3 linked regions of the Diceros bicornis minor genome follow. The protein of the gene in region 2 interacts with the protein of the main gene of each other region in a biochemical or structural test. Links are inferred from orthologs where the notes say so. Each region holds a gene or a part of one and is shown on either strand. Other genes may lie near its edges.

Region 1 (10,393 bases), on a different chromosome or scaffold from region 2:
TGATGAGCAGCATGGGGGAGGAGGGGGCATGGTGGTGGGTTGGCAGGTGTGTCCTGGTGCTGCAGGGCCTTTTATACCCCCCGAGGACCTGGGATGGAGAGTGCTGGCTGTGAGGGCACCTTACTCAGGTTCTGCTGGTCCAACTGGCTCAACCACTTCTCTCCAGGCACTGCCCACTGCCCCTGTTCACAACCCTGCCAACAGTTATTGGCAAACCCTGGGTAAAGTCTGGGTCAGGAGCCTAGGATCCCCCATCCCGGTCCCAGAACAAAATGATTAAGGGGTCCCAGCCCCAGACTGCTCTGCCATGTCCTGATAGCCACCTCCTTCAGAAAGCCTGCCCTGACTGAACCCTCCACCAAAACAATTTCTAAAATACAGTGACAGTGTGGGGGTAAGTCTATCTGGGGAGATGAAATTATCCGTGCAATTATGGGAGCTTTCTACTTTCCTCTGTAAATTTGTCTTTATTTTCCTTATTTGCTGTGTTTTTCATCACAACACCCAATGTGTGTCATTACTGTTCTAGGTTTCTGTGACTCTCCCTTCCCATCCCTGATCCAGCCCCCTGTCCTCACGGTCTTCTCAGAGGTTCCCAGATGGGGGGCAGGCTGCGGTACCTTGGATGACTCCCACACCAAAGAACTCAGTAGAGCCATCCATGAAATGGGCGTGCTCAAGTCTCCCTGACTTTTCTGGACACAACCAGCAGCAGGGAAGGGCGAAGAGGAGAAGGCACCACTTGGCCCCCAGGCGGAACCAGCAGCGCATCTGCACCGTCCAGACAGCTTCCCGACACGGGAATAGAGCCGGGTCTCTTATAGCCGGGCTTGCGTCACGTGGCTGCGCGGGCGCCTCCGCTCCCGGCTCAGAAAGGTTTCCCTGGGGCGGGGCGGGGCCACACGCCCCTCGGTACCGGAACGCCGGAGACGTGCCTGCGGGGGCGTGTGCGCGAGGCCGCCGTGGGCGGGGCGGGGCGCGGCGCGGCGCGTCTGCCGGGGTGGGGAGCGGGGCGTGTGTGCGGCACGGTGGACTGTGGTGTGCCTGCTGTCCTTCGTACCCTCCTCACCTCGAGGTGCTGCCCTCCAGCTCGGGGTCGCCCCTTCCGCCCCTTCCCCCTGTTTCCCACGGGCCAAGCTGCGCTCGGTGAGCTGCCCGCTGCGGAGGGAGACTGAGGCATGGGCAGGCGAGAGGGCTGGTGAGGCCCGCGGCTCTCCCTGCCCTCTGGGTGACTGAGACTCTCGGACTCCCCCAGGTGTCAGAGCCTGTGTGAGACCTGGCAGATCAGAGCAGAGGGGGTGCTCTTGCGTGTGGGGGATTAGGGAGGGGGAGGTAGTGATGGGAGGGGCTCCCCTGGGTGTCTGTGCCAGGAGATAGCTGTCGCTCTGTGCCTGCCTCTGACAACACCAACGCCCTCCCCTCCACACCCCTTTAGAGGGCAGTAGGGTCGAGGAGCCGGAAGAGGAGATTCAGATGAGGGGGTTGCGCGGTGGTCAGTGTAGGATGGGGGCAGTCCAGGGGCTGCATACCCCTGTGAGAACCCCAGGAAAGCCTTGCTCTCTGCACTCCCAGAAAGCACCTTCTCCTGTCTACCCCAAGTATTTCTCAGGTTTCACCCAAACACAAATATATTGAGGATAGAACTTTGGGACTATTAGCCCAGCCTCATCAACTCTGTGTGGCAGTTAACATCAACATAGATTGAGCTTTGCTCCTAGTACTTCACATACATGATCTCTTCCATCCTCTCAACCACCTACCAGACCAATGTTACTGTTATTGTCTCCATTCCACAGATGAGAAAGCTGAGGCACAGTTAAGTCACAGGTCCAGGGCACAGCCTGGGTGTGAACCTGGCCCCTCCAGCCCTACGTCACACTTTCCTACCATGTGGCACTGCCCCCAACGCCACTGCCCTCACTTACGCACTACCCAGTGCTGGAGGCTGAAATCCCTGCTCAGGACCACGTTGGTGGCCTGAGGCGTGCCTGCGGGTTTGGACCATATCCCAAATGCCCTTCTTACCTACACTATCCCCAACAGGACCCTCCCAAGCTCTGCCATACCCAGCAGTTGCCCAGGCGCACCATCCCTGCTGGCTTGGGCCTCCTGCTCCAGAAACATGAGCCCACTCTCCCTTGGCCAGGCCAGGGCTCTGGGTGTGATGGGCTGACACTGGCAGCCAAAGCTTCAGGGCCATGGATGGTGATACAGAGAAGCAAAAACAGAGAGGGAGCCAGAGGCAGAGAGGCCAGGACAAGGACCAACTCTCAGCAGGGATCAAGTAGGTGACCCGATCCTGCCCTCAGCTGGACAGGCCCCAGGGACAGAAGAAGGTCCAGGCCTTTTCCAGGTTGCTTGGCTGAGTGCTGGACTTCCTCTGGAGAGGTCTTGGGGCCCCCAGCTTTCATGGCCTCTGAGTAGGGTAGGAGCTGCAGGGGTCAGGCTGGCCCTCCTCTAGACAAACCCTCCAGGGAGCCCACAGAGGAACAGCCCTGGGTGGATGCTGAGAGTAGGAGTCTGGACACTGCCCAGTGCTACCCCTGATGGGCCCATTTCCTTGACTGCAAACCTGGAGGAGGAAGAAGGGAAAGTATCGCTTCTGCATGGCTGCTATAGGCTCAGCCCTGATTGGGGATTTATACCCCATGTCACAAAATGCCATTGAAGGTTTTTCCAAGGCTGACAGCCTGTGACTCTGCAAACGACCATACCCCTACCCCCTGGCCAGAGTGAGCTGAGCCCTCACCAGGTGTCCATGCTGGCTGAGGCTCCACGCACATCATCTCACCTAACCCTTACTCAATCCCCAGCATGGGTCTGTCATCAGCCCCTTTCACTCGTAAGGACTCAGGATCAGGGAGGTGTGGTTACCTGCCCAGGGTGATACAGTTAGCATGTGACACAGCCAAGGCTTGCTCCCAGGCTTCAGCAGGCCCTTCTAAGGTCAGTGCCAGGCAGGTTGTGGGAGCACAGAGGCAAGCTTATCTGGATCCTGCCCTGGCCCACCCAGGAGCAGTTCCAGCATGCAGAGTGGCTCTAGCTGAGCTTGGCCTGTACTCCCTGGACCCCACACAAGCCTATTCTGCCTGGAACCCCCGTCGCAGGGCCTGTCTCTGGAGGGAACCCCACTCACATCCCTCCTCTGCTCTTGCCACAGTGTGGCCTGCACAGCCTCAGCCCCTCTGCTCCTCTCTGAGTGTATCATGCTTCACCTTGGAGTCTCCAGAGGCAAAAGATTGGCTGAGGCCAATATGTGCTTGCAGCCTCTGAGCTCCTGAGCCTGCATAATCCTGAGGGCCGGAAAGTGCTTCCTGGTGTCTAACTTAAATCCTTCTTGCTCCTGCAACACCAGCCCTGCTCTAAAGCAGTGGTTTTCTGCAAGGGGTGATTTTGCCCCAAAGGGAACATTTGGCTGTGTCTGGAGACATTTTTATCTGTCACAACTTGAGGGAGGGGAGTGCTACTGGCATCTAGTGGGTAGAGGCCAAGGATGCTGCTAAACATCCGACAATACACAGGACAGCCCCCACAACAAAGAATGATCTGGCCCAAAGGTCAGTAGTGCTGAGATTGAGAAGTCCTGTTGTAAAACATGGGCTTTGGAGCCAGGCAGACCTCAGTTTGTATCCTGCCTCTGCCATTTACTAATTGTGTACCCTTGGGCAAGTGGCTTCACCTACCTTTGAGACTCAGTTTGCTCATCACCAAAAGTGGCACAAATAGTGGTCCTCACCTTACAGGGTCTTGAGGAATTATCAGATTGCACACTTCCAGTACCCAGCACAGGGCCTGGCACTGGGGAAACTCCCTCAGTGATAGCCATTATCCTTCTTTTCCACTTTTCAAGGTGAACCTCAGGGTGTGGGAGCCAAGTTCTAGTGACTGGACTTGGAGCTCCCCAAGGGTCAGCCCCCACTTACCCTCCCTCCAGCGGCCTCTGGCACAGCGTGGGCCTATTGTTGATGTTAAGGGAGAGGTTAGGTTGGCTACTGTGGACCTGGATGGAGGAATCAGAAAGGAAACTTGATCTCAGGTGGGCAAAGGTCACTTGAAGCTCACTTTGCTCACCCTTTCCTCCAGCCTAGCCCCAGGGAAGCCATGGTGTGGGGGTAGGGGTGGGACTAGGACACAAAACACACTAACGAATATAGTCCATTAGCTCAGAGAAATGCCATGGATTTCCAGCTGGGCATCAGGAAGGAGTAGCATTTGAGTGGACACAACCAAGACAGGTAGAGATGTGGGGGTGGGTGGGAAATGGCATTCAGGTCCAGGGAACAGCATGTTCAAAAGTCTGGTTGTGAGGAGTAAGGTCTAAGGCCTATTTCCCAAATGATAGTCCAGTGTGGCAAGAGGGCTCCAGCTTGGTGGAAAGAGCCTGCCCCATTGGGGTAGGGGACAGGCGTCAAGGCTGGGAATCTGGACATTAACCAGTTTTCAAACTAGGTCCTCCTTCCTGAGTGTAGGGTACCTGTGGTGGGAAGAATGATTATAGCTTTTCTCTTTCCAGCCCAGACACCCACCCCTCCTCACACTTGAAAAAGAATTTCAGGATCCACATCTCTGCCAGAGCTCTCCATCCATAGAGGTCTCACTGGACACCCCCTCCCACACACACACTGCAGCCCTATAACATACCTGGTCTGGGCCCTTCTCCCCGCCCATCTCCCACAACCCAGGGTCCTCCCTTCTGAACAATGTGGCACCCCTCTGCCCCCATCCACCCCCTCCCTTCTGCAGCCCCTCTGCCTCATCCATTCCCCCAGGAGCCCACTCTGTTGTAACAGTGGCCACCACCTGCTCCTTGAGAAGACCAAAGTCTTAGCCATGGCCTGTCTCTGCCATGGGCCCCTTGATCAACTCAGGCCTCCTCAGGGGTTGGTCCCCCATTTCCATCCCTTAGGCCTCAGCTGGGAAGAGCTGTCAGACTCTCCCCATCCCCTCTAGGTGGCCCCCCAGGAGGCCTGGGACCTGGAACCCCCTTCTTTGCCTCTGGAAAGTGACATTTCTTTGGAGTATGGAGCCATCGGCTTGGCTTTCTGAGCTTTGGGGGCAAGGGAGTGGACTCCCTGGGCCCCACTCCATCCCTAGACCTTAGGCCCAGAGGATACCCAGAAAATGAATGAATGAATGAATGAGTTATGTCTGACAACCAACTTCCAAGTCTGGAAAGGACGCCCAGGTGCCAGCCAGGGGCGATGGGGAACTCTGGAAAGTGGGGGCAGGACAGCGGAAGACTGGGGGATCCGGGTAGGGGCTGCTCCCAGAATCTCCTGACCAGCAGCGGCGGACCAGCGAGAACCTCCCGCCCTGGAGTCTTCCCAGCTCGTCTTCGGGGCAGGGGCGGGACCAGCCGGCCTGGCGGCAGGCACCGAGCCCGGCCAAGTCCGCATTCCAGCCAACAGGAAGAGAGAGAGCGAGGCCGGGCAAGGCAGACCAGCTGGCCGGTGGGGAGTCCCGGGCGTGGGCGTTGGAAGCTGGGGAACCCCCGCCAACACCTCCCTGGCCTCCGTGTGCGAGGAGTGGGGTGGGAGAGCGCCCCCCGCCGGGCCTCAGCGTCCTCCTCTGTAAAATGGGGCCCCTTCTGAGGGCTGGTGCGCGCGCTAATGGCGGGCGGGGGGCGAGATCTGCAGGGAAGGGCAGAGGCCCCGACCCTGAGTGACCCGAAACAGTGAAGCGGGGACACTGGACCCCCCGCTCCTGGCTGGTGGAGGAGGGGCCTTGGGGGGGCGGGCCCTCGTGGGGGCGGGTGCTGAGCGGGGAGGGGCCAGCCCGGCACCTGGGCGAGGTCCCGCCGCCCCGCCCCCTTGCACTTCCGTGTGCAGCGGCGCGGGAGCGGGAGGCGGCGGCGCCGGGATCCCCGAGCGACCCCCGGCATCCGCCCGCCGCGCCGAGGCCCGGGCGCACTTCACCGGCCGCCGGGCCCGTCCCGGTCGGGCCCGCACCGACCCCCGTCCGCGCGCGCGCCCCGGAACCGCGCCCGGAGCCGGACCCCAGCCGCCGCGACCACTGGCGCCTGGCCCTGCGCCGGGAGGTGAGTGAGAGCCGGGCCCGGACGTGAGATCGGGGCTACCCCGAGGGCGCGCCGCCCCCCCTTCCTCCTCTGCTCCGGTTCCCGTTTCCGAAACTGAGAAACTGAGTCGCGGCCAGCGAAAGTCCTACCGCGCGCCGAGACCCGCCGGTGCCTCCGTGCCCCTATTCGTCCGTCTGTCCCTCGGTTCAACGGTAGGGGCAGTGGCCCTCTCATCCGTCTGCTCCTGGCCCCTCTACCCGCCTGTGTGTCCTCAGCTCCTCCGAGGGTCCGCCCATCCCTCCAAATCTCTGGGCCCCTCTATCCGTCCATCTGTCCCCACCCCGTCTATGTTCCCCCGTCGCCTCTCCCTAGTCCCGATCTGTCTGTCCTTCGCCCTCCACGAGCCCGTCGCTCCACCCCCACCTCACGTCCCGCCGCCCCCTAGATCCTGTCCTCTCGGAGCCGCGCCCGGCCCACGCTCGCCGCCCCCTGCCTGTCCCGCCGCGTCTCCTTTTCTACCGCCGGGCCGAGGCCAGGCCGCCCGCCTGGCCTCACCTCCCGCCCCTGGGTCCCTGCCCGGCCCAGCCCGCGCGGCGCCGCCTCCTCGCTGGATCTCTTCTTTCAGTCTCGGTGTCTCTCTCGGTCTTTCTCTCCATCAGTCTCCGGGCTGGGCGTGGCTCCAGTCTCTACACTCCCTCTCCCGCCCCACCCCTACGCTCCTGTGAGCCCCCTCCCCTGGTGGCCCCTTCCTGGTCCCCTCTGTCCCTGGCCTCTCCGCAGTCCAGACGCCCCCCCCCCATGGGGGCCCAGCCAGGGGGACGGAAGGAGTGGAGGAGAACTGGGTGAAGAGGCAGGAGGTGGGCAACGTCGGAATTGCTGCGCTTCCCTAACTGCCTGCCCCATTTGGCCTTGTCAGGGAGGGGAGAGCGGCACTGAGACCCCTTTTCCTGTGGCCCCTACCTTGTGTGCATGGACGCTGTCTCCTTGTGCTGAGTCGCCGTATCTGGGCGTGTAGACATGTTGTGTCTCTGTCTCCTTGTGTGTTCTTTGTCACTGTGTCTGGGACTTGCCCCTGTGTGCCCTTTTTCACATGTGTGACTTGCCCGTGTGTATGTTCGTATGTCTGTCTGGGCGTCCTGAGGCTCTGTGTGCCCTTTACAATTATGTGTGTACTATGTCTTGCTGTGTTCTTTTGTCACCAGACTCCCCTCAATGTATCAGGGTGTGTGTATAAGTGTGTGTGTTTGGAAGATCCTCTGTTGCACACTGAGTATGTAATGGTGACCCACTGGCTGTGAGTACATTCAAGCTGTTAACTGTGGGACCTCGTGGTGTTAGGGTGCCAGCCCACCAGGCTCGTGTGTGTGTGTCTGTATGAGTGTGTGTATGTGTGTGCACTCACATGTTCTTCCTCTCCTGCTGCCACTGAACTGCTGTGACCAGGCTGACCTGGTCACTGAGGGAGAGGACTAGTCCCTTGGGTTTCCTCGTTCCTGCTGTGGACTGAGCTGGGGTGTGGTGGACAGGCCGGCAGAGGGCAGCTGTGTTGTGTGTGTGTGTGTGTGTTGTGGAGGTGTTTGGACAGCGGTACCTAGTTGTAGGTACAGGATTTGGTGTGTGATGGACTGTGGCTGGGGAGTGGATGACTGATGGGAGACTCACGGTCTGACTGTATGAAACTGCCGGTGTGTTCAGGGGAGTAACTGTGATTGTGGGAACCGAGAGTGCTTGTGCGTGGGTGTCAGTACAAGGAGGGGATGCAACAAGGTATGTGGTGCCTGTGCCCTGGGGTGCTGGGAGGGAAGGTGAGAGCCTCAGTGTGTGTGTGAGCGCTTGGGAGGCTGTGAGGGTATGGGTGTGCACTCAGCACACTCAAGCCCAGCCCTGGCTCCTGGGGAGACAGGGAGGCTTCCATCTCTCACGTTCCTCTTCTCCCCCAAATTGATAGACACTGGAGGGCAAGTCTTGGGGTTTGTAGCATTGTGACCAAGACCTGGGGCTCTGGACCCAGGAAAGACTTGGGCTCAAATACTTGCTCTGCCTATCGAGAGTAAGAGACCGGAGCGAGGCCTCTTTAAGGCTGTTCCTTTATCTGTAGAATGGAGAAAGTTGTTGTGAGGACTAGAGGTCCTATGTTGAAAGTCCTTTAGCACAGCGTTGGTCCAATGAGAGCTCAGCACATGCTAAGTCTTATTTGGTGACCACTCACCACCCCCCTCAACAGTGTAGTCCCGATTCTCCTGGGAGCTAGGGCTAATAAAAGCCCAGATAGTCCCCAACCCAATTTCCTGCCTGCGATGTCTCTTGCTCCCTCCCGTCCCCTTGACCAGACTGCTTGTAGGAGGGAAGATGGCTGACAGAGACCCCACCAACATCCAGCCCTGTTCAGCGCACATGACAACCCCCCACCCAGTCTCAGCAGCAGTGATGGGGGAGAGAGTCTTGAGGGGTGATTGATTTGGAGCTGTGACTGCGGACTGCAGGGCCCTGACACCGTTTAGCTGGCACAGCTAATTGGAGTTTAAATTAAAATTAGAGATAATTTAAAATACAGACAAAAAGATAAAGCCTGAGGGTGCCTCAGCTCCCAGGGAACGGTGATGGGGGTCTTCAGCTGGAGGAGGGGCTCACGTCTGGGGAGGGGACTCTTGTGGAGGCCTGGCCTGACCTGCAGAAAAAGTGCTCAGGCCTTTTAGCCAGGAGACCTGGGGCACCTTGCTGCCTTTGGTGCCCTTCCTTCCTTCCAGGATCTCTCTGGGCCTCAGTTTTTTCAGCTATATAATGGGTACATCTAGTAATGTGAGAATCACCTCAAATAGACGGTGCAAAACAAGGAACAAAAAAAAGTGTTTCTATTCATTTGGCACTCCCAATGTGAGGTCAGCACAGGAGCTGGCATGCCACATCATTGGAGCCTTGGAACCACCTGGGGAGATGTATTCTCCCCATTTTATTTATTTTTATTTTTGTTTGTTTGTTTATTTTGAGGAAGATTGGCCATGTGCTAACATCTGTTACCAATCTTCCTCTTTTTCCTTTTTCTTTTTTTCTCCCCAAAGCCCCAGTACATAGTTGTGTATCATAGTTGTAGAGTTGTAGCTCTTCTATATGGGATGTTGCCTCAGCATGGCTTGATGAATGGTGAGTAGGTCCGTGCCCAGGATCTGAACCTGTGAACCCTGGGCTGCCGAAGCAGAACGCATGAACTTAACTGCTACGCCACCGGGCTGGCCCCGTCCCCATTTTAAAGATGAGACAAACTGAGGCTCACAGGAGTTGCCCAGGCCACAAAGTGGTGGTACCCAGTTGTACTATAGGTCTCTCAAGCCCACAGGGCATTCTCCTGGAGACAGGAGGATTAGGAACAGCTTTCTTGCTGTGTCTGCAGTCCTCCCCACCAACCTGGAAAGAGGAGGAGGGCTGAGACACAATATTGCAACCCCTAGCATGGAGTGGACACATAGCCAGTGCCTGGAAAAGTTAGGCCCAACACCTCGTTTCACAGAAGAGAAAGCGAGTCCAAAGAGGCAAAGGTGTCAGAACCAGAAGAGGCTGAGCCGGGCCTGTGTCGGCCGTGCTGGGGCTCACTGATGGGGAAAGCCTGTTTGGTGGCGCCTCTCGGCTCAGCTCTTTTCTCTTGTTCCTGCAGGTCTGCCGGGAACTGGCCCAGATGAGGGTGGCAGGCCTACTTATCCTCATGGGTGTTGCGTGGTAGTGGTGGCAGCAGGAGCCAGAACTAAGGAGAAGACTGGGTCCTCTTAGACAGATGGACGGATGGACAATGTACAGGGGTGGCCTTCCTCTTTGGGCTCTTCCTTTTCTGTCCTGGGTCTGGGTCGAGTCGGGGGGACATGCAGAGTCTTTGGTCTGCGTATGGTGCCTGGGCATCCAGAGGGGGCAGCAGTTTGTCCTCTGAGAGCTCCCTGCCTGGAACTGGCTTCTGGCCTAGGGAAGGCTTTGGCCTTGGAGCTCCAAGGTCTGGGGCCCACAGTGGTTTGGGGCGAGGAGTGGTGACACTTTGCTGGTCAGTTAGAGAGAAGGTGGTGTGTGAGCCAAGAGTTGAGGGTGGATGTATCAGCTTTTCTGCAGCCCCTTGTCTCTGCCTCAAGCTGTCCTCATCATCACACAGGGAAACTGAGGTTTGCCCTGGGCCCCACAGTGGGTTGGACACTGAGCTGGGAATGGAACGAGGTCTCCCAGCTCCTGGCATGACTGAGCTCTCTTCCACACCCCCTTTTCTCCAGCCTCTCTGGGGCTAGAGCAGGGACTCTAAATCCCCTCCCCAGCCCCCAGATTCGGTGAGCTGGGCAGAGTCTCTAGGGAACACTGGGAAAAGCTGCAGTCTCTGCGACCCCTTGTAAAGCTAGAAATCCCTTC
Region 2 (8,737 bases):
AAATTAAGACACCCTTGCCAGAAGGTTAGGATTAAAAACTGCCTTTACCTACCTGTAAAATGGAATAAAATGAGTGCCAGCTCTCTTTAGGAAGCGTGGATGGCTCTGAAAAGAGCCTTTGGGTGTTTTAAGGAGCCTGATCAATCGCTCTGGGGAGAGCGGGCTCACTTGGAGCTGGTGTACTTGGTGACGGCCTTGGTGCCCTCGGACACGGCGTGCTTGGCCAGCTCCCCGGGCAGCAGCAGGCGCACGGCCGTCTGGATCTCCCTGGACGTGATGGTCGAGCGCTTGTTGTAATGCGCCAGGCGCGACGCCTCGCCCGCGATGCGCTCGAAGATGTCGTTGACGAACGAGTTCATGATGCCCATGGCCTTGGACGAGATGCCGGTGTCGGGATGGACCTGCTTCAGCACCTTGTACACGTAGATGGAGTAGCTCTCCTTGCGGCTGCGCTTGCGCTTCTTGCCGTCCTTCTTCTGCGCCTTGGTCACCGCCTTCTTAGAGCCCTTCTTCGGGGCCGGAGCAGACTTGGCCGGGTCCGGCATGACGAAGATCAACTGCCAAAGACACTGAAAAGTAAGGAAGAATGAGTGTGGGGTCGTAGGTATCCCCGTTTATTTACAGTTTCTTATGCAAATAAGATGATTAATAAAATCATGTCTGATTGGTGGTGAATTTTGAATGACGTCATACAGTGCCCAATCAAAATAACCGTATTTCAAAACCACTATTCCATTGGTTTAAGTGTGACTTTAATTTTAGCCAATGACACGGCTTCCTTTTCGCGCTCAGTAACGACTATAAGCTGTCCAGCTCTGGCTGATTTCAGATCTTACTCTCTCTGGTCATTATCTTCCAGTTATGTCTGGACGAGGCAAGCAGGGCGGCAAGGCTCGCGCCAAGGCCAAGACCCGCTCTTCGCGGGCCGGGCTGCAGTTCCCCGTGGGCCGCGTGCACCGCCTGCTCCGCAAGGGCAACTATGCCGAGCGGGTGGGGGCCGGCGCGCCGGTGTACCTGGCGGCGGTGCTGGAGTACCTGACGGCCGAGATCCTGGAGCTGGCGGGCAACGCGGCCCGCGACAACAAGAAGACGCGCATCATCCCGCGCCACCTGCAGCTGGCCATCCGCAACGACGAGGAGCTCAACAAGCTGCTGGGCAAAGTCACCATCGCGCAGGGCGGCGTCCTGCCCAACATCCAGGCTGTGCTGCTGCCCAAGAAGACCGAGAGCCATCACAAGGCCAAGGGCAAGTAAGCCCTCAATATCAACTTCTTCCAACCCAAAGGCTCTTTTCAGAGCCACCTACTATTTCCGTGGAAGAGCTTGGACAATAGTTTCACTTAATCTCGTCACTGTCGACTGAGAAAAGGAAACAGTTTCATTTAGAACGAATCTGGCAAGCAGTTTTAGGAAGTGATTTTTCAGGTTCAGATTTTAAATGCCATATTAACATTCTTGGATCTCTCCTAGTCATGTCCCTGGGGTGTCAAGAAAAAGTCAGGAGCTTTAGTGGGCATATAAAAGTACAGTATCAGTTACTGAAATGAGTAAACGTTGCTAAAATGGCCCCTGAAGACAATACATCCTTTCTGAGCTAATTTCTGTCAACTTTGTCTCACCCAATGTTATACTGTATTTGGAGGTTTTGCCTTATCTTGATTTCTGCAATAGATTTTGAGAGTCAAGTAAAAATATGACCATAAGCAGTAAGTCATGTTTTGTTGAGCTTGCTATTTGTGTGAACTTCATATTACTTTAGTCTATGTAAATATACTTTTAAAATCTTAAATGAATGACACCACGCATGTACGATCCTGAACTTGCTCCTCTTCTCTTCTGGTTAGGTCTGTGGCTTGTGAATGCTGCCTATACTGCCAATCGATCAAATAAAGTAGTGTACTAACTGGCATGTAGGTGGCGCGTGAACCGGAATTAAACTTCCCGTCGAGCGAGTAAAAAGAATTGACCAATCGGAACGTGCGCGGGCTTTTTAAAATTCTAACCCCTTCCTTGTCGTAAGTAAGCAACCAGAATCAAAAGCTCCGAAAAGCCGATGCTGAGCCATCTATTCAAGATACGATTCCCCGGAGTTTTTTTACAGGGTGGTGGCACACGTAGGGGCCCTTAACTCCCCTTGCTTTAGTAAGCTTTGCTGAGTATGACATTAACTGTAACTTGACGGTTTCGCTTTAAAGTTTTAAACAGAAAAGCTGAAAACGTAAACAAGACTTTAGTAAATATACTGTTGCACGGCTCTCATGGAGGTTGGTCGGGAAGGCAACAATGATGGTAAGTTATTCAGTGCACAGCCATTTTCGGAGATCTCTGGGTGGCTCTGAAAAGAGCCTTTGGGGTTCTGTCGTTTTTAAACGCCGACTACCTACTTCTTTTTGGGAGCTGCCTTCTTCGCCTTCGCAGCTTTGGGCTTTGCTGCCTTGGGCTTGGTGGCTTTGGGTTTGGCCGCCTTCGGCTTCACTGCCTTGGGCTTGGCGGGGCTCTTGGCAGCCTTCTTCGGCTTGGCGGCAGCTTTGGCCTTCTTGGGACTCTTGGCCACTTTTTTGACGCCAGCGGCCGCGGGCTTCTTGGCCTTCTTGGGAGTCTTCTTCACGGCTTTCTTCGCTCCCGCAGTCTTCTTGGGCTTTTTAGGAGTGGCCCCTGCAGGCTTCTTGCCTTTGGCTGCCCCCGCCTTCTTAGCCTTGGGCTTAGCTTCACCAGAAGCCGCTTTTTTGTTGAGCTTAAAGGACCCCGAAGCACCGGTACCCTTGGTCTGCACCAGAGTGCCCTTGCTCACCAGGCTCCTGAGACCCAACTTGATGCGGCTGTTGTTCTTCTCAACGTCGTAGCCACCAGCCGCGAGCGCCTTCTTGAGTGCAGCCAAAGACAGGCCATTGCGTTCTTTAGAAGCAGCCACAGCCTTAGTGATCAGCTCAGAGACTGGGGGCCCGGTAGCCTTGCGCTTAGCCGCGCCACCGCTCCCGGACTTCTTGGTTGCCTTCTTCTTGGCAGGAGACTTCTCCACTGGCGCCGGGGCAGCCGTCTCAGCAGGAGCGGTTTCCGACATAGTGATGAAAGTACCTACTAAAGAAAGAGAAACTCAAAATGCAAAGAGCAAGGTTTGCAATGCTGTCTTGCTGGGGCCCGGGGCTTATATAAGCCGGTGCTGCCCTCTGATTGGTGGAGCGTCCAATCCACCTCCCTCGGGCAGCCGCCTCTCCCGGTTGGACTCTCAAATTGTGTTTGTTAGTCCCCAAAATTTGATTAAATGCTGAAAACAATAGTACAGAATTTGACGCTTTGATGCTCCAAGAGAGGAAAACAGCCTTCGGGTTTACGTATTTGTTTGTGTTTTCATAAATCACGCACAATTGATGAAAGATATATTTAAAAATCCCTTAGGCTTTTCATATGAATCCACCCGGCTTAAATCATCCTGCTACTTAGTTGCATGTTGCAATAAATTTTTACTAAGTATCAAGTTAACGTTTTTTAAAAAGATTTGTTCCTAAATTCAGCCTTTGATTTTTGCAGGAGGAAAGACACTAGGTTCCTTGGTTTGGACATAAACTTTGTTTCAAACTGTAGCAAGTAACACAGGCGTAGGGTGGCTGGTTGCCTACAGCCCCAAATTAAGCACATGGACCTTACTTTAAAAACCGGTTCTGCCTCCTAGGAGTTTCCACATGCCAATGCCTTTAGAGAATGGTATTTTGCAGCTTGGAAAAGTTCAATTGCCAGAGTGACTTCTTCCACCTTGCTCCAAGAGGAATAGAAATTGCTTTGGCTTCAGGATCCGTCGACTTGGATTCAAATTCAAACTTAAATTTGGTACATTTTTTATTGAGATGCTTTCTCTCTTTGATTCCTAAGTGAACCCATTAAAATAAGGACGGAAAATGCTTAGCCCAGATAATGTCCTTTAGAAAAATCTCTGAAACCTGCTTCCAGTAGCCCTCAGGAGCACAAACTGTTTAGATGAATGGGACTTGGTCAGGTTTTCGAGGTGCTCTTCCCAATGCTCTCACTCAAACTCCTTACCTCCATCAACATTTACCAAATTGCATCCTCAGGAATACCCTCTTTTGTAAGCAGCCAGAAGACATCAATGTGGGTATTTTTTGTGTGTTTAAGTGAAGATAGACGTGTATTTTAGAAAAATAATTGGCTACTTGACTATAAGAAGGGTAGATTGGGTATTGAGGGACAGGAGGTTATAGAGGTTCTGAAGAATTCAGGAAAATATTAACATCCAAAGGAGTTCAGGCAATGACCATGAGTTGGAATGGAGAGTGAGGTTTGCTATTTATTTGAGGGTGGGGTGGAGAATGGACAGGATTTTGTGCCTGGATGGTAAGAGATCAGGTAATGGTTATGATCTCTAATGCAGTCAACAGTCAATGCTTCCCTGTGAAAAACTGTGTTAGCCAACACACTTCATCTTCTCTCCAGGAGCTCTTGGATTTGAAAATTCAGTCAACTATGGCCAAATCTGGACAATGACTTGTTTTTGTATGGCCCTCAGGCTAAGAGTGGTTTTTATATTTTAAAATTGTGTTAGGGGCCGGCCCCGTGGCTTACCCTTTAAGCGCACCCACTCCGCTACTGGCAGCCCGGTTCGGATCCTGGGCGCGCACCGACGCACCGCTTGTGCCGCCATGCTGGGCCGCGTCCCACATACAGCAACTAGAAGGATGTGCGACTATGACATAGAACTATCTACTGGGGCTTTGGGGGAAAAAATAAAAAAATAAAATAAAAAATTAAAATTGTGTTAGAAAAGAAAAATGCGATGAAGACCATATGTCTCCTGCAAAACCTAAATAAACTATTTACTAACTCTCTGGCCCTTTTGCTGTGTTTTGAACTCCTCCACATAGACGCAGTTCATGGTATATTGCTACAAGCTTGCCTCTTTCAGAACAATGCAAATCGAGAACTAAAAGAAAAGATTTTAACAGGAAAATGTTCTGAACAAGCATTTCCACTGTTTTTATCACAAAACTTTCAGAAGATCCAGAGGAAAAAACCTTCCATGTTTAAGCAGCAGGAGAGGGTGATAACTTTAAGAGCTAATATTCATTGAGCATTTACTAAGTACCAGGAACTAATCTAAGATACTCTACAGGTTTTAATTTGTCACATCATACAGCTGGACAAGCTGAGTCCCAGAAAGAGGATGAGTAATTTACCAAAAATTATACAGCTAGTACTTGGCAGCTCTGAGTTTGAACCTAGACCACTTGGCTTCATCTCCATTATGATGGGGAGATCCTGGAAGGGGTGCAGAGAGAGAATAATCTTTGAAGTTTGGAAGAGGCAGCATCAAATCGTCCTTACACCTAGCAGGAAGCCAAAAAAGGAGCGCTAAATTAATCTGTAGGGAGAGGCTTCTGGCTCCATGGATCAGAACCGTTTTTGCTGAATCAATTCCAAAAAGCTTTAGAAGGAGCCAGTGATGAAATATAAGCCTCTCTGGAAGGGCAAATACAAAAATAGGGGAAAGAAAGGAAGGCTCAGATGGCTGACCTGCCTTCGAACACTCAGGAGAAAAATTGCCTTCACTTAACTCCGCTAGCTCCTGGAGTTAGGATGTGTACCCAAAAGCGTAAACAGAAAAATAAGGCAATGATAGTCGTACATGAGGAGACTTTTTAAAAAGCTGAAAACATTGGACAACATTAATAAGGAGTCAAGTTTGGAAACAAGGAACAACTTCAAAATGACATCTCACCTTTAATTTCCAGTCTGATTCTCTATTTGGAAAAACAAAACAAAACATGAACATCCAATTTATAGACTGACAGGCAGATTTTGAAAATACTTGAGCAAATTTTTTTTTAGATTTTTACAGCTATTGGGAGCTCATTTTACAGATGACAGCCTGCAAGTCAAAGTGTCCAGGCCTTTGTGGGCCCACTGTTTTCCACACATAATCACATACATGCAAAGCCCCTAACATATGCCTTTGTTAAACATTACAAAAGAGCAACAGAAAAGCTAGCAAGTTTCTAAACACTCATGACGATACTTGTTCTATTCCTTCGTGTCACAGGAAAGCAAATTAAGAGGCATATTTCTTAGGTCATCCCAGGAATCCTTGGCAAAATTAAGCTGTATTTGCCATTTGCACAACTATCCACAGTAATTTGAACTAAACTTTTCTAAGGCATAAGCCAGTCTTGCTTCGGTTACTACATGTAGCCAAGGGTGTTTCTGAAATGCTTGTATCATTTTAAGAATGCCTATCCAGAAACAGCTCCTCACTGCGCAGAGTACAAGCAAGGTGTTCCCGTGGAATCAAGTTGTTGGGTTTACAGAATACACAGTCACCTCTCCAGCCTGTAGACCAATCTCCCAACTGAGCCCACAATAACTATTTCGTCGAAACGCTCTGCACTCTTTTCATATAGTGCTACCATATATTCTGTAGAACAGCTCCCTTTTGGTGACAACGGAGGGGCTCTGAAAAGAGCCTTTTGGGGTAGAGTTCCCTTTGGGGTAGAGTATGTCAGGTGGAACACTAGCAAGTTTAAGCTCTTTCCCCGCGGATGCGGCGCGCGAGTTGGATGTCCTTGGGCATGATGGTGACGCGCTTGGCGTGGATGGCGCACAGGTTGGTGTCCTCGAAGAGCCCCACCAGGTAGGCCTCGCACGCCTCCTGCAGCGCCATCACGGCCGAGCTCTGGAAGCGCAGGTCGGTCTTGAAGTCCTGCGCGATCTCGCGCACCAGGCGCTGGAAGGGCAGCTTGCGGATCAGCAGCTCGGTGGACTTCTGGTAGCGGCGGATCTCGCGCAGCGCCACCGTGCCGGGCCGGTAGCGGTGGGGCTTCTTCACGCCGCCGGTGGCCGGCGCGCTCTTGCGGGCCGCCTTGGTAGCCAGCTGCTTGCGGGGCGCCTTGCCGCCGGTGGACTTGCGAGCTGTCTGCTTGGTGCGAGCCATAGCTAAGCAGAGCCAACTACTTAACACTAATGAGAGCAAGAAGCAGTCGTCCCAGTATTTATAACGACCCTCGCGTTCTGATTCGACAGCAGACTGCTGCCCCGCCCCGCCTCGCCCTCAGAATTGGCTCTTGGTTTAATTCGCTAAGGAAAGGAAGTGTTTTCCCGCCTCTCCTTCAGTTTTTAAGATAATGTACAGAGAAAATGTCTTACTGGCTTTTTAAAAAGCCTCTAGGATGCATCAAAATTCTCAAGAAAATGTTGTCTTCAGAATGCGAAAGTACCTTGCACTATTTTAAGTAAAAGGCTTCATGATTGCATCCTTGGCAAAAAATCTTTACTGAATAACATGAAAGGGAACCGAGAATACGTTAAATGTTAAGTACTGAAGCGGGGTTTGAAATTCTAGCCACTATGGGCTATGCCAGTGTTCTCAAACTTCACCGTGCTTAGGAATCAACGAGCTCGTTAAAACAAAGGTCAGCCAACTCTTTAAAGGTCAGTTTACTGTCTTTGCCATTGTAGTGCGAATGCAGTAGACAGTAAATAGATGAGTCCGACTTTCAATCTTTGTTGTAACAGGTAGCGCCTATTTAATAATGGCCGGATGATCTGCCATTTTACTAGGTGATGGAGATGCTGATGGGGGGGAGGCGGCTACCAAAGCAGCTAGGAATGTTTTAGGGACCTTACTGTTCAAGATGCTACATTTCCCAAAAAACTAATCTGACGCTTGCAGCTGCTTAGCATACAGTGCTACTGAAAGATGCCTACAGCTCTTTAACAGATTTTGTGGGTGGCCCTGAGAAGGACCTTTGAGTGATGGAATAACGTATTAAGACAAATCTAGCCGCCGAAACCGTAGAGGGTGCGGCCCTGGCGCTTGAGCGCGTAGACCACGTCCATGGCGGTGACCGTCTTGCGCTTGGCGTGCTCGGTGTAGGTGACGGCGTCCCGGATCACGTTCTCCAGGAAGACCTTGAGCACCCCGCGGGTCTCCTCGTAGATGAGGCCGGAGATGCGCTTGACGCCGCCACGCCGGGCCAGGCGCCGAATGGCGGGCTTGGTGATGCCCTGGATGTTGTCGCGCAGGACCTTGCGGTGGCGCTTGGCGCCGCCTTTGCCCAGACCCTTCCCGCCTTTGCCACGGCCAGACATGCCTGCGACTCGAGCAGATGCAATCCGCCAACCCTCCGCGGCAGTGGTTTATATAGTGTTGTGTCGGACCTGTTTGAGAACTGCGCTTGCCAGCTGTATCCGCCCAGTGGAGTCACAGACCCGAAGCCCTGCCCACGTTTTCGCGAAAAATGGAAAGGGCGGTGCTTAAACTCTGGTCTAAAATCACGCCTAACTAAAAATGCCTCAGTCCTACTTCTCCTCCCACAGTGTTTTGCGTCTCCCACCGCTGAAAGCCGTTCCTTTGTCTGGGTCAGGCTTTGCTGTCTGTTTTTTTTTTTCTGTCACCTCTTAGAATCGATCGCACTAGCGCCTTGTGGCTGGTGGACGCGAATCGCCCATTTCGAGCTGTGATTACAGTCATTTGGGGGCATTTGTGAAACCTTCTCGTACATAAAGTGCCTTCGGGTAGTCTCAATTTAATCAGCCTGAGAAGCGGCTGACTGCAGTTAACGCCGCCAGATTATAGACAGCTTCGAGGTGGGGTTCCTCACCTTTCTCAACTTGGGTTTTCTCCTCTTTTCCTTACCTTTTACTCATCCTATCGGCTACCTTTCCCTTCCCTCCCTCGCTGGCACATTTTTGGGGGAGAACTGGCTTTTTCAAATTTCCTTCATCAGGCTTG
Region 3 (10,466 bases), on a different chromosome or scaffold from region 2:
CTGAGTTTCAGGTTCCTCAGCTAGGAGCATCACAGAGTTTTTGGATGATCAACGGCACTTTTCATCTACTCCCACCTCTGACTCCACCAAACAGCTGACTGTAAAGTACAGTTGGGCACCAAGGCAAGACTTAAATTGTGCTTTCAAGTTTCTGCTCTGTACTGTACCCCATGTTACTCAGCTCCAGTCTTTAGAGTCTCAAGCTACTCAGCCTTCTGGAAAGACTACTCACTACACAAAGACTGCCTATTGTGCAGAGTAACCCTGGGAGTGGATTGTGGAAGAGAATCCTACTCCAACTTCCAGGACTAGCATGAGCCCTCTCTCATTCTCCATCACTTTCTCTCAGGCCTCCTCTTTTATTACTTGCACTTCCTCTTCTTCTTTCCCTTTTATCTGCCTCCATCTTCATGCCATCACTTAACTTTGCAAACTGAAAGTCCTTTGAGGACTAAAATGAGGCTTTGTAACCAAGTTCCCCTTGCTAGACTGCTATAATTAATCACAATAAATAGAGCCTCAGTGCTGAGGAGACGTTTTTGCATGAGAGCCAATTCAAGAAAAATTTAAATACATACAGACCACATTCTAAATATAACAGTTTTTCACTATCTTCTCAAGTACTAATTCTTTAACACTCTTACCTCTGTAAACCAATTTGCATGTCCCAACGCCCACACACATACACCTCTAAAGATTTAAAGATTCTTAAATTTCAAAAGGAAGAAAGCACAGCAAGAGATGGAGAGACAGTCTCCTTTGCTTGATACCTGGAGCCAACCATGCCTCAAGCTAGGTACTCCTTGGACTTGTCAGTTTTGGGAGCAAATAAATTTCCTTTGTTACGTAATCCAGTTGGAGTTGGGTTCTTATCACCTGCAACAAAAAGTCCTTATAATAGTTATGATGCTAATGAAGTTCTTTGTCCTCTTAACCAAAGTCACCCTGCCCATAAGAGATGAAAAAGGGAAGAAAATAAAGGGCTGATGGGAGAAGGAACTCTGTCTAATGTTATCATATTGTAATAATTTATCTTCATATCTGTAAGAATGTGAGCACCTTAAAAGCAGGTAACCCTAGGCACAGTGTGTAAAACATAGTTAAAGCTCAAAAAGTATTTATTGATTGAATAAACTTGATTTATTCACAATTTAAAAAAAAAAGATTTAAGGGCCAGCCCCTTGGCATAGCAGTTAAGTGCGCACACTCCGCTGCTGGCGGCCCGGGTTCGGATCCGGGGTGCGCACCAATGCACCGCTTGTCAGGCCATGCTGAGGCCACGTCCCATATAAAGTAGAGGACGATGGGCATGGATTTCGGCCTCAGGGCCAATCTTCCTCAGCAAAAAGAGGAGGATTGGCAAGGATGTTAGCTCAGGGCTGATCTTCCTCACACACCAAAAAAAAGATTTAAAGATTCTTTTGAAATCTATGTACTCTTACGTGTACATAGAACGTTCTTCAAGGATACCCAAGAACTCTTCAATACATTTTTGGTTGTGGAGGAGGACTTACTCTTTATGGTATAACCTCCTTGACTGTTAGATGTAGCATCTAAAACCTAAAAAAAAAAAACAGCAAAGCTACCATCAACAATTCAAGGAACAGAGGTAAGAGGTTAAAGTATATACCAGCTCTACAAATGGGACAGTCAGTGTATATGATTGAAGAAGTTATTTCACGATGTTTCTCTATATCCTGGGTCTTCTTTTTCAACTCCTGTTTCTATCTCCATTTTAGTGTGAATGTCCCTGATTTTCAGTCAACACAATCAACCACTCCCCATCTTTAACTTCATTTTTTTCAGTTACATATGTGCATAGTTTTAAGTTAGTTCTTTAAATCTTATAACAAAATCAGCACACCTCTGATCAGCAGCCCATTCCTGCTGTCCAAAAGGAACCATTTTCTATTCTTTTAACTGTGTGATTCACTGTTTACAGTCATAATTCTCAATAATGTCCTTATACTGCTATTTTTTGGTTATACAGTTTTAAAAATTACCCACTAACTTCTTACAATGGAAGATGAGGGTTTAGCTCTTTTATACCACCACCAGCACACATGTACACTCATATATATCCCTCTCTCTCCCCACTCTCTCAATACAGTTGAATCATAATTTTTGGTTAAATCAGTATTCAGTGTTTCCATTACTGTGACTGTATGATTTACCATAGTGCCCTATGTACCCTATTGTGATTACATTTCCCTTTTTTCTTTTAACAACTTTTAGTTTGCTCCAGATTTAATACTGCCTTGTTTATTTTCATTTGCCTAGTTTTTTTATGCCTATCACTAATTTATCTCCAACTCTACCAGAAGTGTAAATCTCTTCTCAGTACGCTCAAATACATCAGGTAATTTATCAACTTCATTGTTTCGCTTGGCGATGTCCCACTTAGAGCCAACCATCCCTGTCAATCTCCAGCGTGCACTGACTGCTCTCTATGCCTACTGAAAGGTGCCAGCCTAGGATCATCCAAGTCTTGACAATTTCCTTTGCCCCTCTTCTGTGTTGGAACTACTGTTTCTTAGATCCCACATCTTCCTCTTTTTTCATTTTCATCCTTGTTTTGGGAGACTACACACTCCAATAACTTCCTAAGAAAGGGTACACAGGAGATAATTTTTTAGACTTTGTAAATCTGAAAATGCCTTTATTCTACCTCATGGTTGTTTCGTGGTTTGGCTTGGTACAGAATTATAAACTGAAAATCATTTTCCCTCAGAATCTTCTAGCTTTCAACATTGCTGTTGAAAGTCCAATTCCTTTCTGATTCTGGATCCTTTGTATGCTGATTTTGTTTCCTTTTAGGGTCTTCCCATTATTCTTAATGTCATATGCCAGCACAGTGTGCCATGGGATGAGTCTTTTGTTCACTTATTGTGCAGGGCACTCAGACGCAGTTCGGAAAACTCATGTTGTTCACTTCTGGGAAGTTTTCTTATATTATTTCTTTAATAATCTCCTCCCTGCATTTTCTCTGGTCTTTTTTTCTGGAACTCCTATTAGTTGTATACCAGACCTTGTAGGATGATCCTCTAATTTTCTTATCTTTTCTATAGTCCATCTTTTCGCCTTTTTTCTGGGAAATTTCCTTGACTTTCTCTTCCAAACTTGCTATTGCATTTTTAATTTTTGCTATCATATTTTTAATTTCCTAAAGCTCTTTTTTTTTTTTTTTTGGTGAGGAACATCCACCCTGAGTTAACATCTGTTGCCAATCCTCCTCCATTTTGTATGTGGGTCGCCTCCACAGCATGGCTTGACAAGTGGCATAGGTCCACACCCCGGATCCAAACCCGTGAACCCAGGCCCCCAAAGTGGAGGGCACCGAACTTAACCACTATGCCACTGGGTCAGCCCCTCCTAGAGCTCTTTGTTAAACTTGCTTCTGGATGCATTCTTATCTTTTATTTCTCTGATGATATAGATGGTAACTTATTTTTATTTCTTAGCTTTCTACTTTTAGAATTGCCTGTTACCTTGGAGTTTCTTTTTATGTTTGTTTGTTTTGGTCTTTTTCTTTCAAGTTGGAGGATTTCCTCAAATGTCTGGTGCTCCCTAGATGGCTATTAATAGTTAAGAGTAAGACACTAAAATATTGATTAGAAGCTCTGTGTCAGTCTGTAAGCATGTCAAGTACTGAGCATCACTTTAAGAGTGACTCAGCCTTTTCACTGGACACTCTAACCATCAATATTTTTAAGACTTTTCTCTTGGGCTGGTCCATTCCACAGAGAAGCATGCTCTTGTCTCATTTAGGAGGATATAAATTCAGCTGCCTGCATTTAGGGGACTGAGTGGGCGAAGAGAACTGGAGGTTTCACCATTTGGTATGAAGAATTTTACTTCATCTGAACTCCAGAGTTCTTTTCGTTTGGCCTCTCCAGAACATAAAATAAACCTCCAGTCATCTGCCAGGACCAGGAAGAGGCTGCACTTTCACTGTGCGCAGATGTGCAGGAGGGAATCGACTAAGCCTCTTTCCAGCTCCACCGACACCAATTTCATAGGTTCCTGGTGCCTCCAATTCCTGAGACTCGATGGAGTCTATTGCATGAACCAGCTTGCTTCCTGGCTTTCCACCGCTAGCTTAGATTTCAACTTTCTTGGGCTGTCTGATACTTCTATTACGATTCTTCAATGTGCTTTCCTGCCTCCAAAATGTTGTCGGTATTGTCTCCTCACCCATCCTTGAGAGTTTTGCAGTTTTTTTTTAAATCCCTTTACTGTCTTCAGGAAAAAGAGAGAGAGAGAAATGTGCATATTCAATCTGCCATGTTAAACCACTATACCCTCTGTGAAACACTGCCTTCCCTTTTCTGAGACACCACTATTTGGTCTCCCACCTCTCTGGTGTTCTTGCCCAATTTTCTTAACTGGCTTCTCCTGCTCTGTACAATCTTTACATATGAAGGGCCCCAGGGGTTGCTCCTGGGCATCTACTCTTCTTTACAGTTCTCTAGATGACCTCATGTGTGTGAGGGTTTAAATACTATCTAGAGCAAAAGGAGGCTTTAGCTCTCACCCTGACCTCTGCCTAGTGAACCTCTCCTCTTGCATATCTCTAAGCATTCCAAAAGTAGCAGAATTTATCATTTCCTATCTAAACCTGCTACCCCCTAAAAGCTGCTCATCTCTTAGTCTTCTCTGTTTGTTACTCAAGCCAAAACTTCAGTCATCCTTGATTCCTTTTTCGCTCACTCCAAGCATGCAAACCATCAAGATCCAGCAAGTCTACCTCCAAAATATATCCAGAACCCATCCCTTTCTGTCTAGCACTACTAGTACCATCCAAGCCATCATCTTTTGCCTGGCCTCCCACAATAGCCTCTTAATGGCTCCCCTTGCTTCTCTCCTCCTGCTTCCCCTCCACCTCCCCACCTACACACATTCTCTCCACAATGACTAAGGTAATCTTTTTGCAAAACAGATTATGCCACACCTTGGCTTAAAACCCTGAACGTGGCTTCCACTGCACTTATGATACCCCAGACCCCTTAGCTTGGTCTACAAGGACTTATATAATATTACCCTCTCCAATCTCTTTAATCTCATCTCTACTCTCCCCTCTGCCCTATATTCAAGCCACACTGGCTTTTCTGAACATGACAAGCTCATTCCTATCATTGGGTTTTCACAGACTCCTTCCTCTATCCGAAATGTTCTCCTTGTCATTTAAGCCTCAATTTAAATGTCACCTTCTCAGACCATCCCTGACCACCAAGTCTAAGTTCGAAATTATTTTCAAATAAAAAGCTAAAACAAAAAGATTGGCTTTGGTAAACAATTTGAGAAGTAATCTGGCAGGTTAAGAACCTGACAATATTCTTGAGACAATTAGTGTTGTGGAAATATCACAGATCCGGAAAAAAAAAACAAACCTAAGTTTGGTCCCTGTGTTACTAATGTGTGATCTTGGGAAAGCCACCCAAAGCCTCTCCGAGCTTCAGTTCCTCCACCCGAGTGTTGGAATGATCAAACGAAAGAAGGTACATATATAAAAGCCTTTCCTCTGTAGTAAAGTGTGTAACAATAAGTAGGACTAGAGCCATAACACGTTCTCACTTTCACAAACTGCGGCTGCTCCACTGTCACTTTCCCGAGATACAAGGCCGTCCCCTTGGCTAGCTCGGGGGGCACACAAACTTGCCTCTCCAGGAGGCCCACACGCGCACCACTCGCCTATCCAGGTGCCAGCAGCAGCTGCGCGAGAGCGCAGGCGCAGAGCCAGGCCACGTGAGGGCCTGGCCAGGCTCCCCGGGGCCGCAGCCTCGCTCTGGCCCGGCCCCCTCTCGAACCACTTCGCGGGATCTCCATGGAAACGCATTCTCGCAGGAACCGGCAGCCGCCAATGGGAAGGGAGCGAGTGCCGCGAACAGCCCAATAAGGAGGGAGCGGCGCGGGGTTTAAACCTGAGGCCGGCCCGGCTCCTCCTGGCGTGCTGCGCAGGAACGGCTGTTGGTCGGTGGTGGGTTCAGGTTCCTGGCTCGTCGGGGGCTCCGTTGCTCTGCTTCTCCCCACTGAGCTGCTGCCTGGTGAAGAGGAAGCCATGGCGCTCCGGGTCACCAGGGTGAGCTGCTGCGGACGGTGAACAAACGCGGCCTTACTGGTGCGCTGCGTGTCCTCGCCCTATCTCGCCTTCCGGAGGCTCCCCCCCGCCCTCGGCAGGAGCGGACCCAGGCAGCGATCTGGGGAGGTGGAGGGGGGTCGGTGGGCCTCTGGCATGGTGGGGGAGTTTGGGGGACGTACGGACAGAGAGAGGAAGGTGAGAAAGAGAACTGGACGGGCCTTGGATAAATGTTGGGGAGGCAAGTGGAGGGTTGACGGGAAACCAGGGCCCCTGAGTGAGCTCCCACCGATTGCTTAACCCCCTTCCCGGAACGAAGGTGCCTGCAGTTGAAGGTTTTTCGGTTTTCTTTCAGATGTAAATTCGTGGTATTTTAGGGCCGGCGGGGACTAAACCTCGATGGGTGAAAGAAGAAGTTCTGGGAGGAAACTAACTTGTCACAGCCATAGCGTAGACCCTGGGACCCCGGTTTCCCTTGGACCCATTTGCAGCCGCCTTTCCTTCCGAGAGCCTCTCTCTTGTCCCACCTTAATTAACCCTTGACTCACTCTAACCTGGCTGGGCCAGCTCTCAAAGTGCTCTTGCTTCTTTCAGAACACGAAAATTAATACTGAAAACAAGGCGAAGGTCAGTATGGCAGGCGCAAAGCGCGTGCCTGTGGCAACTGCTGCAGCCTCCAAGCCCGGGCTGAGGCCAAGAACAGCTCTTGGAGACATAGGTAACAAAGTGAGTGAGCAGCCGCAGGCCAGACTGCCTCTGAAAAAGGTAACTATCTCCCGATTCAACTTACCTGAGTCCACCTTCTAACTGTGACTCTTGATGGAGGAACATTCCATTCTCTCCTTTTCATCCACAGGAAGCAAAAACTTTAACTGCTGGAAAAGTTATTGCTAAAAAACTACCAAAACCACTGGAAAAGGCGCCCGTGCCTGTGCCAGAGCCGGAGCCCGAGCCTGAGCCAGAACCCGAACCTGAGCCTGTTAAAGAAGAAAAACATTCTCCCGAGCCTATTTTGGTAAACTTATTGTGCCAGTTTAGAATCTGTTGATTGTTTGTTGCCCCTCGTTTTACTAATGCATGGAATAGCATTTAAATAAATACTAAAAATTGTAACATTTATCCAGTGCTTAGCAGGAGGTAGTTTCTGCTAAGGGCCTTACATGCATTGACATAATCTTATACTCTCTTACCTAGTATTATTACCTCTACTTTTTTTAGATAGTGGTTTAGAAAAGTATTAAGTATCTTTTCAAGGGTCACACATCTAATCAGTGGCACATATTGGATTCAAAACCTGGCTGTCTGGCCTCAGAACCTGTGCTTTTAATCGTTTTGTTCTATTGCCCCTCCTTCGTTAATGGTATTGAGTAGTAGCTGCCTGGACCAGTGATTTTGCTGTCTTTGGTACAAGCCATCACTGTCCAATATTTGTTGACTGAAACACAAATTATTCTCTTGAATCTTTTTTTCTCCCTAATATGACCACTGAATAATTAATAAGCCTGTAACATTGCAATATATAAAGATGTAAAGCAGAAAGAAAGTGTAGCTCTTCAGAGAACAGGTAAGAAGATGAGTTAATGTGTAGCCTCAAAAACTAAGAACTTTTTATTAACTATCAGGTATGTAAATATATCTACTCCTGTGAAGGAAAATCAGACCATCTAAAAGAGGCTACTTTGCTGAAGTTGCAGTGAACTACATTCTGAAGCTCTAATTTTAAAAACTTAGTTAAAACTTCTTGGGAAAATATCTGTAAAAGTCATTCAGCCTAGCTCCTTATATCTGAGGGTAGGAGATTTGAGGCTATTGCTTTAGTATTGACCTTCTGGACATAGCACATGAAACCTGTAGCATGCAGTCTTTAATTGGCCATACCAAACCACCTGAGGTTTCCTTGAAAGTCCCATACTGATTCTTGCCTTGGCTTTCCCACTTATTAAAAATGCCTTTCCCACCTTCTGTCTCTTTTAGCTAATAACCTTTGCATCCTGCAAAACAGCTCAAGCATCAATTCCTGAAACTCCCTAACTTCCCCCAACCCCACCCTTGTTCCTAGAATCAGTCTCCTTACTTCATTTACTTATTTCTTCTAAATTCAAAGCCCCTTGAGGACACCATAAAGCCAGTGCCTAGCACAGAGCTTGACTTGAAGAAAGTGTTCCATAAATGTTTGAACAATGGGGTGACTGGAGCTTGAAGAAAATGGTTAATGGTGATGAAGTCAGTTAATCCTTGGTAGAACTTATGTTCTCCTGAGCAGTGAGAAGCAGTCCATGTTTTCACAGAAAGTCTAAAGACTGACTTGTCATTCCTTTGGATTAACTTCACATGTTGCTGATAAACAGATTAACTACTTATCAGTTTCCTTTGGAGGAAAGTCTAGAATATGAATTTGCTTCTCTGTTTTACCTGTTAGTGTTTAGGTTCTGTTCTCTTCAAATTGGCTCAGTCTAAGTTGGCATTTCAGTTTTCATATTAATCACTTCCTAAAGAGAAATTGAATACATTTGAAAAGAAGATCCTTTTCCATTAAGGAAATGAATTACATGTCTGTTCAGCAGATGGTCTCTTGAGTTGGTACCAGTAATCTGACCTTCATGCCCAGATTGGATGCTCTTGCTATTATTTCAGAAGGTCTCTCTGTTTCAAGGTTGATACTCCCTCTCCAAGCCCAATGGAAACATCTGGATGTGCCCCTGCAGAAGAATATCTGTGTCAGGCTTTCTCTGATGTAATTCTTGCAGTGAATGATGTGGATGCAGAAGATGGAGCCGATCCAAACCTTTGTAGTGAATATGTGAAAGATATCTATGCTTATCTGAGACAACTTGAGGTCAGTATTATTAGTCTTTGTTTTTTCTAAAGTGCACCTAGCTTTATTAAAGATATTTCCATTAACAGTTTACAATAGTTCAAGGATGACGTGAGCAGCATTTCTTAACAGTAGATTTCACTTTCAAAATCTCCTTCATAGAATACCAAACATAAAAAGTTGCTAAACAGACCAATGAAGTCTTTATTTTCCATTTTGAACAGGGAGATTTCCAAGTGAGAGCAGATACTACTATGGCTCTTTGTAATGGAAAGTCCGCAGATTGAAGGATATATTTATATCCATCACAGTTAGGAGCCAGCAAGTCCCAAACATTGGGTTTAAGAAGGCTAACAGGCAGGAGGTGGATGGTAGTGCAGAAGATGCTGAAAAATTACAGCCAACCCCAACACATGGCATTTTGAGTGAATGTGGCTGATGGGTGTGCCATATCAGGGAAATTGTTGTTTGTGTCCAAGAGGAATTTTCTTCCATTTCATCCCACTTCTGAAACTTTCTATTAGTGGCATTTGCCCTTTCCCCCCAAAACTAAGGAAGCATTCTGTATGCTAACAACATGAGCTATACAGTTACTAAATTGACCCAATTGTTGGTTTATAATGCATTCTCTTCTCTTGGCATCATTAACATCTTCAGTTTCTTGCCTGGTTCTTTTGGGGATCTCCATTTTCTACAGGATTGTCCTGCAAGAAGACTTCTTTGCCAGGACCTGCTTTGGGTTTCTTCTCCCTTTTTAAAGTTTGTGTTCTAACTGTGGAGGAGTGGGCTTAGCAGATGTATGTGCTGGTCCTTGATGGTTCATTCTTCTCTATCTGTGGTGTTTTTGGGGTTTAAACCCTGGAGCAGGAGAGTGGTAACACATTAGGTTCCAGCTGATCTGGGAGCTGCTGCTATTTTCTCTACTTCATAAAGCTCAGGTTCTGGGTTTAGAGTCTTAAGTGAAAAGATCTGAGATGATAGTATGGCATCTTTATTTGGGAAGAAGTGAGTGCGGCGTGTGGGCCAGTAGCAGTGATGGTTAATTGAACATAGATTTGCCAATATGAAAAACCTGTCACATTTTCCTATTTAATGTTGGCTTTCTTCCTCAGTGATAGAGCTGTTTATAGTGACCATATGAATAATTAAGCTTAGAACTATTAGAGATTCTAAATGCTCCACAGCTATTCTGTAGTGACTGATATTTTTGGTCAGAAATGTCACGTGGAGTCTTGCTTCTAAGGATAATCCAGCTTTTTTTTTTTTTTTTTTTTTGCAGGAAGAGCAAGCAGTCAGACCAAAATACCTACTTGGTCGTGAAGTCACTGGAAACATGAGAGCCATCCTAATTGACTGGCTAGTGCAGGTTCAAATGAAATTCAGGTTACTGCAGGAGACCATGTACATGACTGTTTCCATTATTGATCGGTTCATGCAGGTGAGCATAATTCAGTAATTGAGGGTTCTTCCTTCCAGGGTCCTAGCATAGTCAGAAGAAACAGATGTTTTCAGCTAAAATCTGTCTTGGTGGAGAGGGTGTCATTAACTGAGATTTTGTTATGGGAGTAGGTCTTT

Evidence for each region.
Region 1: of the proteins of H1-5 (region 2) and PRKCD, one has a biochemical effect on the other in vitro, tested with the Homo sapiens proteins (2 studies listed by BioGRID). The link is inferred for Diceros bicornis minor from reciprocal best matches to the Homo sapiens genes H1-5 and PRKCD.
Region 3: of the proteins of H1-5 (region 2) and CCNB1, one has a biochemical effect on the other in vitro, tested with the Homo sapiens proteins (2 studies listed by BioGRID). The link is inferred for Diceros bicornis minor from reciprocal best matches to the Homo sapiens genes H1-5 and CCNB1.

What each region holds. Positions count from the first base shown.
Region 1 is NC_080741.1:53,719,397-53,729,789, forward strand, and holds the start of PRKCD (protein kinase C delta type), read left to right. Parts: upstream 1-5,873; 5' UTR 5,874-6,037; intron 6,038-10,393.
Region 2 is NC_080753.1:39,364,869-39,373,605, reverse strand, and holds H1-5 (histone H1.5), read right to left. Parts: upstream 3,092-8,737; 5' UTR 3,062-3,091; coding exon 2,381-3,061; 3' UTR 2,322-2,380; downstream 1-2,321. Other genes in the region: histone H2B type 1-O, read right to left, coding at 165-545; histone H2A type 1, read left to right, coding at 862-1,254; uncharacterized protein LOC131413346, read right to left, coding at 6,386-6,388, 6,609-7,047, 7,788-8,094. UniProt on the Homo sapiens protein: Histone H1 protein binds to linker DNA between nucleosomes forming the macromolecular structure known as the chromatin fiber. Histones H1 are necessary for the condensation of nucleosome chains into higher-order structured fibers.
Region 3 is NC_080759.1:8,348,189-8,358,654, reverse strand, and holds the start of CCNB1 (G2/mitotic-specific cyclin-B1), read left to right. Parts: upstream 1-5,946; 5' UTR 5,947-6,058; coding exon 6,059-6,079; exon of another isoform or gene 6,080-6,118; intron 6,119-6,670; coding exon 6,671-6,841; intron 6,842-6,932; coding exon 6,933-7,091; intron 7,092-8,729; coding exon 8,730-8,912; intron 8,913-10,170; coding exon 10,171-10,329; intron 10,330-10,466. UniProt on the Homo sapiens protein: Essential for the control of the cell cycle at the G2/M (mitosis) transition.